Linked DNA regions of Tribolium castaneum. The protein of the gene in region 1 interacts with the protein of each later gene in a pairwise test. Links are inferred from orthologs where the notes say so. Each region holds a gene or a part of one and is shown on either strand. Other genes may lie near its edges.

The links.
Region 2: the proteins of Tom70 (region 1) and park come close enough for resonance energy transfer, tested with the Homo sapiens proteins (3 studies listed by BioGRID). The link is inferred for Tribolium castaneum from reciprocal best matches to the Homo sapiens genes TOMM70 and PRKN.

The regions. Positions count from the first base shown.
Region 1 is NC_087402.1:140,215-145,196, forward strand, and holds Tom70 (mitochondrial import receptor subunit TOM70), read left to right. Parts: upstream 1-1,653; 5' UTR 1,654-1,779; coding exon 1,780-3,290; intron 3,291-3,344; coding exon 3,345-3,507; 3' UTR 3,508-3,638; downstream 3,639-4,982. Other genes in the region: nose resistant to fluoxetine protein 6, read left to right, coding at 1-22, 65-252, 298-608, 672-817, 868-1,005; polyamine-transporting ATPase 13A3, read left to right, coding at 3,991-4,009, 4,055-4,279, 4,329-4,557, 4,615-4,982. UniProt on the Homo sapiens protein: Acts as a receptor of the preprotein translocase complex of the outer mitochondrial membrane (TOM complex). Recognizes and mediates the translocation of mitochondrial preproteins from the cytosol into the mitochondria in a chaperone dependent manner.
Region 2 is NC_087398.1:11,671,701-11,677,036, forward strand, and holds the start of park (E3 ubiquitin-protein ligase parkin), read right to left. Parts: upstream 3,435-5,336; coding exon 3,174-3,434; intron 3,125-3,173; coding exon 2,759-3,124; intron 489-2,758; coding exon 340-488; intron 291-339; coding exon 92-290; intron 42-91; coding exon 1-41. Other genes in the region: protein FAM32A, read left to right, coding at 3,573-3,782, 3,837-3,959; alpha-1,3/1,6-mannosyltransferase ALG2, read right to left, coding at 3,969-5,213. UniProt on the Homo sapiens protein: Functions within a multiprotein E3 ubiquitin ligase complex, catalyzing the covalent attachment of ubiquitin moieties onto substrate proteins. Substrates include SYT11 and VDAC1.

The sequences.
Region 1 (4,982 bases):
TTATTTGGAACCTGTGGCACAGGTAAAAAATATTTTTCTTTGCACTCGACTGATTTTGTTTTAGTGTGCAGCTCATTCGTGGTATCTAGCTGTGGATACGCAACTATACTTAATTGCGCCATTCGTTATAATTAATTTGAAAAAACACACAATACGAGTTGTTACGGGAATGGCAATCGCGTGTTTCGTTTGCATTATTTACACTTTTATTGTAACGATGAAAAATAATTTCGGAGCAATTCTATTTTTTGAGTAAGCAGTGTTACATACGTGATTTTTTCTATAAATTTTATTCAGTTCCGACATGAGCTACATGAAGTACTACTACCTTACACCCATTGCTCATTTAGCACCTTGGTCGTTTGGAATACTACTAGGTTACCTGCTTTACCGACAAAATTATCAAAAAATCATAATTTCGAAACGACAAAATCGCTTCTTGATGGCCATTGCTCTTACAACTATGGTCGCCCTTCATTTACTTTGCACTGTCTTAATGAGACACGAACGTGATCCCTTCTACAGCGCCCTTTTCAACTGTTTTGTTAGACCTTTATGGGCACTTGCCCTTTGTGTCGTGATTTTTATTTGTTACACCGGACACGGAGGTATTATTTCGTTTTCAAAAGTAATGAATAATGAATTATGAATTATCATTCAATTGATTTCAGGATTTATCAACACTTTTTTGTCTCATCCGGTATTTATTATTGTGGGAAAACTTACATACAGCATGTATTTGTTACATGTACCGGTGATTTATGTAATTTTTTTGGGGATTAAGGACGAGACTAGCACCATCAGCAATACGATTTTGGTAAACTTTCATATTTATGTTATGCTTGATAAAGTAATTTAATATTGTAGTTTGTTGAGTTTTGGGGTACAATGGTCATAACTGGAGCTTGTGCGGTAATATTATGTCTCGTGTTTGAAACACCTGTTATTAATTTATTGCAAATTGTTGAAAGAAGTGAGTATTCAAGAAAAAAATTAAATTATTAACTTTTTGAATATACCGACCTTGCCCTTATCAGCGAGGTTAACTCCTTAATAATTTTTGTTTGTAATAAATTACAATATAATAAAAAAAATTATACAAACAAGTTTGTGTACTTAAATGGCTTTTACCCATTGGCATATTTACATATGGGCTAAAATATATTCTATTTCAATTAATAAAAAGATAGCTAGTATCTAAATAGTCGGGTTGCATTTTTTCCTAAGTTATCTTAGAGATTTTGATGTGCTCTTTGCGTTGGAAAAAAAAACTATAAGTTGTAGAGCAATTTCCATTGAATTCTACGGCTCATTTTACGTGAGATATCAATTTTTCACAAGAATAAAAAATTAAAAAACTTTTTGCTTAATATTAGGGTAGCTATTATTTATGGTGGATAATTTTATTAAAGAAAAAAAATCGTAACTCAAAAACTAAAAGCCGTAGAGCAAAACGGTTTGTTCCAGTGAATTCAGCGACTCATTTTCTGTATTATACAGAGTGATTCTAATGTAGAATGACCGACGGAATCCATATTTACAAGAATCAAGTCGCTACAGCTAACCATTCGGAAAATATCGTCAAAAATCAAGGCAGACGATGAACCTATCTATTAGCATATGCAACCAGTAAATCACAAAATCAAGTAAAAAAAAATCCAGCAGCTGTCAATTTGTTGGCTGTCAAATCTGTTACATAACCTCATTTTCGATAAATAACCAATTCAAGATAAGAACCCCGTGTGTGTGTGTCCAACTATCCGTGGTAGTGTAAAATCGATGGCCTCATCCACCTCTAGCACAACTTCATCGCTCCAAAAATGGCAAATCGCTCTCGGAATCGGAGCTGTAAGCGCTCTAGGTCTCAGTTACTGGTACTTAAAAACCGGCCGAAAGCCCCAATTGAAAGACACCAGCGATACAATATCAATCGATGAGTCCGTCAAAGATCCCCCTAAGGACCCCACCCCTTTGGAGCAAGCCCAACAGTATAAAACTTCCGGAAACGAAATGTTCAAAAAAGGCAAATTTGACGAAGCCATCCACTTGTACAACAAAGCCATCGAGGCATGTCCGGAAGAATTCAAAACGGAATTAGCGACGTATTATCAAAATCGAGCAGCGGCTTACGAAAACCTTAAAAAATGGAGCAGTGTAATTGCTGATTGTACCAAAGCGATTGAATTGAATTCGAGATACGAAAAGGCGTTAATGAGGAGAGCCAAGGCTGAGGAAATTGTCAAAGACTGGGAGAATTGTTTGGATGACGTCACGTGTGTGTGTCTTTTGCAACAATTCCAGAATCAAACGGCACTCTTGATGGCTGATCGCGTTTTGAAAGAGTTAGGTAAAAAACACGCACAGGAGGCCATGCTTAACCGAAAACCTATAATTCCGTCAAAGACTTTTATCAAGACTTATTTTTCGTCGTTTTCTGAGGATGTGGTTTATCAGAAATTGACTGAAGTGGGGGATCCACTCGGCCAAGGAGAGCTTTCGGGTTTCCTCAAAGCCAAACTCGCTTTCGCTACGGAAAAATACGAAGAAATAATCCCATCTTGTACCGAAGAAATCAATTCAAGTGAATCCGAATCGCCGTTTAAAATCGAAGCTTTATCACTCCGAGCTTCGTTTTATTTTCTCACTGGAAATCTAGACAAAGCACTTGAAGACTTGACCACGATCATAAACACCGACTGCGATGTTAAAATTAAAGTTAATTCACTAATCAAGCGTGCGTCGATTTACATGCAAAATGAGAAGCTCACAGAGTGCCTTGAGGATTTCGATAAAGCGGCTGAAGTCGGCCCGGAAATTTCCGATGTTTTCCATCATCGAGGTCAAGTCAAGCTTTTGATGGAAAAAACAAATGAGGCGATACTCGATTTTCAGAAAGCTGTTGATTTAAATCCGAATTTTTCGGTGGCTTTTGTACAAAAATGCTATTCGGATTATCGGCACGCAATGCAAGTGCAGGACGTGCAACTTTTGATGCAAAGTTTGGCCAATTTCAAGAAAGGCATTGAAAAATTCCCAACTTGTGTCGAGACTTACGTTTTGTACGCGCAAGTTTTGACCGAGAAACAGGATTATGAAGAGGCAGATAAGTTGTATGGAAAAGCGCTAGAGATTGACTCGGAAAATGCCTCGATTTACGTACATCGAGGTCTTTTGATGTTGCAATGGAAAGGTGAGATTGAACAAGCGGTCGAATTGATGAAAGAAGGAATCAAAATTGATGATAAATGCGAATTTGCCTATGAAACTTTAGGGACAGTTGAGGTTCAAAGGTATTTTGAATTTGTGTTGTGTTATAAATTTTGCCCTTAATTCATTTGTTTCAGAGGAAATTTAGTCGTTGCGATCGATTTATTCAACAAAGCTATAGCGTTGGCACGATCTGAAATGGAACTCACTCATTTGTTTTCGCTCAGAGATGCAGCAACGTCGCAATTAAAAGTCACTACACGACTAGGGATTGATTCGCAGCATATGGTTAACAAATAATTGTTAGTTGTTGTATTAAATTGTACCCCTCCTTAAATTTTTTAGTGTAAATATGGCATTCCAGACAATATCGCAAAAATTTTAGTGTATTAATTTCAAACAGGTGCTTAATAAACCATTTCTATCCAAAACGCTGTTTCATTGGCCAATTGACTCAACTTGACTATGCTCAACGAATAAGAGGCAGGGATTAGTGTCATGTGATCACAACCACATGGGTCACTGGACCAATGATTTACTAAATCGTGGTCATGTGATAAAAGTCATGTTTCACTTGATCTGATTAGAAAATTATCAGTTTATCAAAATTTTTGATAAAGCGCGCCTCACGCATGGTTTCCCTCCCCCCACTTACTTATTCTTTGTGTAGGCAACGCAGGAATGAATCACTTCCCTGTTTTTGTTGCTGACATGTGTATAATGAGATAAAATCAGCTTACCTAATAGTTTTTGTATCCCTTGTGTGTTAAAAACAATGTGACAATGCCACGCAATAATTCTGGTAATTTTCTGCAATTGTTTGACTGAAGGTAATTTACAATTTTAGAATATGAACCAATTGGTGAATCCTCCCACCAAACCCTCGACTTGAACCTTGAAGACTTCCAGTGTGACCTTTACGGTTTCACCAGGAGCTCTACACGCACTTTTTTCTACCATTTTTTAGGAATCGTATTTTTAGGCATTCCCTACTTACTTTCCAGTTGGTTTTCGCGCTTGAAATCGTGGAGATATAGAAAATGTAGCTTAAAACACGCAAACATTGTCTTGAGTGAGGTTATGTCAGCAGTGGGTGAACCCCACTGAATTGTAATTTTTAGTTAAAGATGTGCATGGGAATAGCGATTTTGTCGAAATTAAGACTGAAAATGCCAAATTGCCTAATTACGGGCACGTATATTTAAGATTTTTCACGTATCAACATGCGAAATACGTGTGGATCCCCCATAGCGAAATTTTTGGAACTCTAGACCTTTTAATACCTCCACAAACGGTTGATAGTTATGTTAATAATACGGACGGGTTATTTTATAACGATTATGTCGATTTGTAAGTAATTTAAACTAACTTTTCATTGATTGTTTAAAAAAATCACATTATTTTAAGGTTAAAGTTATACGGGTCAAATAAAATCGAAATTGAAGTTAAGTCCTATTGGAGATTGTTCGTAGACGAGGTTTTTAACCCATTCTATGTCTTCCAAGCATTTTCCATGACTTTGTGGTGTTTTGATCATTATTACATCTACGCATGTTGCGTTTTTATCCTCACTTTATTTTCGGTGATCACTGCCTTACGACAAACACGAAAACAAAGCGAGGCTTTGCATGACTTAGTCGAATCGTCCAAGTGCCATAACGTAAGAGTGTTACGACGAAATCTTCTCTCAGAGAATGTCCTTCAAGAGGCCGACCCTTCAGAACTAGTACCTGGAGATTTAATCGTTCTTCCGAAAGCTAATTTCGTATTACCCT
Region 2 (5,336 bases), on another chromosome or scaffold:
AACACATACTCTTCAGTCGCAAATCTCTGATATTGTGTGTACTATAAAAAAATTAGTCCGCGCTATTAAACGGGCTTGAAGCAGAGCTCACTTGACTCTCTGACAGGAGGCGAAAATGGTGGATCTCCTGGATGAAGGAGTCGGGACAGCCAGCGGGGCACGCTAGCGTGTAGCCAAACTCGGGGTGTTGCCAGAATTGGCGTTCCCGCAGCCGTGTCGTGCAGTACTGGCGGAAACAGTCGAGGCAAGTAACGTGGCCCTCTTTACATGGAAAGACGAACACGGTTTCGCTAAAATTTTATTGGTTATTTTCACGCTAGGAGTTATTTTCGCGTTTACTTTATGTCAGCGCACGCTAGACAAGGCACTTCTTTTAAATTTGGACGAATTAGATAGAGGGGAACAGCCTCGTCGGTCTCTCCAAGGGACGTGTGCTCCGAGCATTTGAAATAAAATTCGGCGAAAGTCGGTTCTTTGTTGTTCAGAACCTGCAGGAATTATTAATTAAAAATTTTAATTTAATAGATTTTCGAAATAATAGATTTTCCAGGGTATAGGTAGCGGTTTTATCAAATTTGAATTCAAAACATGTGTTAAAAAAATATTTTTATTTAACGTCGTTTTTACCGTGTTCATCATAGTCGTTCTTAATTTGTGTTTTAAGAGCAAGCTAAACTAAAATATTTCTAGCGAAGGTCGTTAAATCGATCAAGTATTTTCTGTTACCAAACGAAACTGTCTATCTTTGCTTTTGTACGCATCTCACGCACAAACAAAATATTATTGTAGCGCTTTAGTAGATTCCCGTTGAATACATTTTTATCTCAAAAAAGGTAATATTAAAAGAATTAAAAATTAAATTTACCTACTTATGTGCTACCTACTAGTAATTTCTATTGACACTTAATTAAAAGAAATGATTTAAGACAGGTACAAAGATAGAAAAAAAAGCAGGTAAAAAAGGAGAATTGAAAAGTTATGGTAATCCAATTGTCTTTGTTTATAATTTATTATTAATATTGTAATCTAATAAAAAATCTAAACTATTATTCTTGTGTGTCGTTTTGATTATGGAGCGATTCTTACTTATTTTTACATAATTTTCTCTTCCTTATACAGCGTTCAAAATGATGTTGCCAAACTTTACGGTGTTATAGAGGTCACTAAGATAGAAATGTTTTGCTGATAAACGCTGATAAATGAGCCGTTTTGCCTCTAGAGTCATGTCTTTGTCCAGAAATGATTACATTCAAAAATTCCCATAAAACTTACGTTTCATAACGTTATTTCAATAAATTGTCAAAATACCACTGCCTTATTTCATGTCAGTTTGCTCTACTTGCGTTAATGTTTGATAAAAAAGTATTTTAAACATGTATACATTTGTCAGAAAATAACAACAAACATCTATTTTTATTTTTTTTGAATATTGATTAATTTTTCCGGCGCATCCACCATTTTTTTAATTTGCAGTTTGTTAATAGTAAATTGTTTTACACTTGTTTTTCTTATATTTTCTGTACACTTGTACATTTTTGACTAAAGTTATTCAAAGTAGTATTTGGAAATGTTTAATTTGATAATTTCTCCCGGCGCATCCACCATTTTTAAAACGCTGTCTTGTTCACTTTAAGACACCAACTGGTGTCAAAAGGCGGTGGTGTGTGCATGTGTTGTTGTCATTAAGTCATTGTTAATTCCATCTTTTAATGTTTACTTCCAAGAATTTGAACGAGTAAAAAGCCTGATGATGTTTATTACATTAACTTTTAACTAAACTTTTTAAGGAACTTGGTCTTATCGTCGTGAATTTTTTTAAAATCAATCAGTCAAGGACGTTTAAAAAATTTTTATTATAACAATTTTTACACAATACTAGAGATTTCATCATTTCAATTTGAAACAGTTGTAAAATTTGGATTTTTTCAAGTCACAAGACATTCTACTTTGAAGCAGATTTTTTTTAAATAATTATTTCTTTTCAGTCCTATAACTCGCTTACGGGTAGTCCTATAACAAAAGTGCATAGGACCAATTTTTGTAGGAAATTTCATCAGCTTTAATTTTTGTAAGAAGGTGAAAACCGACAATGATTGTTTCCGTGGTATAAGAAATAAAACGAAAAATGACACACTTAACCCTCTCCCCCATCTCGAGCTCAGCCTCCATCCTCTGGGATTTTTAATATCTGTCTATCTAAAGAACGCGTTTAAAAAATTCCAACTCACTAGGAATTTTTGCCACCAACCGCCCAATTCTTGTCTGGTCTAACTTGACTGGGCTAGATACCTGATTTATAGCTGGAACACATTTTCTAAAAATGTTATAGAGACCCTCAGTAGTAACCCAAATTTCAAATTTAGATTTACATTCAATAAATTTGGTAACTGTAGAAAATTTTAACTTTATGATAGAAAAAGAAATTTAAAAAAGTATCTGAAAATATTTTGGCGTATATTGTTTTTAATTGTCTTCAGCGACTTTTAGTTTTTAAAATTAACATTGATTTCCCTGTACCAGAATTTCGGTTTAGCTCGCTCTTATGGTGTTAATGAATCTGCTGCTTCTAGTTAGGTGAGCGGACATTACGATTGCAAACATTTTAAAAATTTTCGCAATGCTCCTTAGTAAGCGTAAATATTTTTAACTTTAAATATTTTGACTATAAACATTTTAAAGGAAAATTAAATTTTGTCCAGTACTATTTTTAGTGTGGAGTGTTTTTGACTAATTTCAATTAAATAATTAAAAAACGTACGTTGGCGCACAATTCGGGGCTATTCTCACAAAGGCCGGTTATCTGCTTTGGCTGCAGCACATCATTCCAGTTTTGGGGGTCTGAGTGCACCGTGAAAGCCCCCGATTTGCAAAAGTGGCACCGAACTCGCAATTTCCCATTTTTGAGGGCTTTACACGTGGGGCAATAGACAAAAAAGTGGACTTTGCGTTGCTCGGTGGGCCCTTCCTCGTAATCATCGTTTGAAAAACTCAAATCTGATAAGGTCTCACACAGAGGTTTGCCCTCGTCACTTTCCTCAATTACGGCATTGTTTAAAGTGGGAGGGTTGGGCTTTTTGGTGATTTTGATAGCGTGGAGGGTGCTTTGTTGGCCCAAATCACATTCCTAGAATGACTAACTGGTTACGACTAGTGGTATTGAGGGCAAAACTCACAGAAATACTAATGTTGTCTCCCAGCTCTTTTCCAGCGAAAATAATCTTTACCTCGCCTGGTTTCAGTCCCAATTGGGGCGCAACGAACTCTTTCACCTCTTTTATGTCCCAGGTGGGGTCCAAATCGACCGAAAGCGTATTCCCTGTGTTGGTTTTTATGTAAATACTCAAATTATTGCTCAGCGTTTTTCTACTAAATGACAGAAATTGTAACATCTTATGCAACAAATCTTTAATTACGTTGATAATAAAACTCATCATCTGTGGTAACCGCGGCCGGGCTTATTTTTAGAAAAAAACATTTTTTGTGAGGAAATTTCATAACCTCATTCTTGGGGATTGTCGATCCGTTACGTTGGTTGTTGTGTGAAAAATTCCAGAAACGTCAAAACAAACAAGATGGGGCAAAGTGACGACCCATACGCACAAGTTTGCAAGGGAAAATTGCAATTAAAAGGTGATAACAGCATTAAAAAGAAAAAGAAGAAGAAAGATAAGAAGTTGTTAGAGCAAGTGAGCAAAATTGTCGAAAGTGAGACACCGGAATCAAAGCCTGCGAGGCAAAAAACAAAAGCCGAACTTGCGTTCTTAAAACAGCAAGAAAAAATGGTAAATAAATCACATTTCGTGTTAAATTTGTTGCCTGATTGTTACAATTTGCAGCAAACTCAACGCATCTTGGAAAAAGCGTCAATGACACACAAAGAAAGAGTAGAAAAATTCAACCAACACTTGGACGGGCTCACGGAACACTTTGACATACCTAAGGTCTCTTGGACTAAGTAAAATATTTATTTAAATAAACTTCTTATTTACACTAGTGTGATCAAGGATTTTCTTCAAATTCCTTGCAAAACTCTCATTTGAGAATTTCTCCTGCAACACTTTGCGCCCCTTGAGCCCCATTGCCTTGTTATCCGACTTGAATATCCTGTACATGAATTGCGCTAAACTGTCGGGGGTCGGTTCGCATAAATAGCCCGTGTTTCCGTGGTCGACTGTCTCTCGGGGGCCCCCACTGTTGCACGCAATGACGGGCTTAGCCACCGTCATTGCCTCGAGGGGGACAATGCCGAAGTGCTCCTTCACGGGCGTGTAAACGAGGCAGTCACACGCCATCAGAAGTTCCGTCTTGACGTCATCGGGGGGCGACTTGAGGAAAATAATCTTGTCTTGGAGCCCCTTCTCAGCGACGAGTTTCTCCAAGTCGGTGAAATAACTGGCGTTTATGGACGATTGGGGGTCGTAGCCCCCGGCCATAACCAAGAAAATGCCTTTACGTTCATTTTCCGAGGTGATTCTTTGCAAAATTTCCATCGCATTGATGGCCAAGTCCAGTTTCTTGGCGGGATGGAAGCGGTTGATGGAGAGGAAGACACAGGCGGCGTTTTGGGGTATTTCTGGGATTATTTGGTGGATTGGTCTGGGGTTTTTGGTGTTTTTGACGGCTTCTAAGAACGAGGAGGCCACTGTGGGGTACACCACTTGTACAGTCTTTGTGATTTGGGGGAAAGTCTCCCGGAAGACCGAAGCCGTGTACTCACTATTCACTAGAATGATATCAGCCCGAGCTGTGGACTTTAACTCCAACCAGTTTATGGGCTTCCTGTAGAAATTTTTTAAGGCCCCCCCTGGCGCACTGGCGAGCAAGTCCGGGTGGTGACAATAATAGATAACTTTTTCGCCGAATAATTTCAAAATTGGCACAGCCATAGGGATTAAGTCCACAAAGTACACGTCAGGCTTTTGAGTGGTACGGTAGAAAATTGCGTAGACTAGTGTTAAATAAATCATTCTGATGTAAGCGCACAGTGCTTGGAACCTTCCGAAGAGGTGTCTCGGAAGCCAGTCGCCGTACACTTGAACGGGGAACTCCCCATTCTTGAGCTCCTCAAAAGCGTGGTTTTTGTCGAAATGGTTGGTTAGAAGAATTATTTCGTTTCCTTGTTTAGATAAGGCACTCGCGACGTCTAAAACTAACCGTTCCGCACCCCCTATTCCCAAATCAGGGTGAATAAAAGCTACTTTTCGTTTCGGCATTGTTTAAGTGAGGTTATCTCATTTTTGACAGCGTTAAATCAGTGGCACCAACCATACAGAATACAGAACTTAAAAATCCTGATTTAAATTAAATTAGGACAACTTCCACCGACTTTTTGTTTC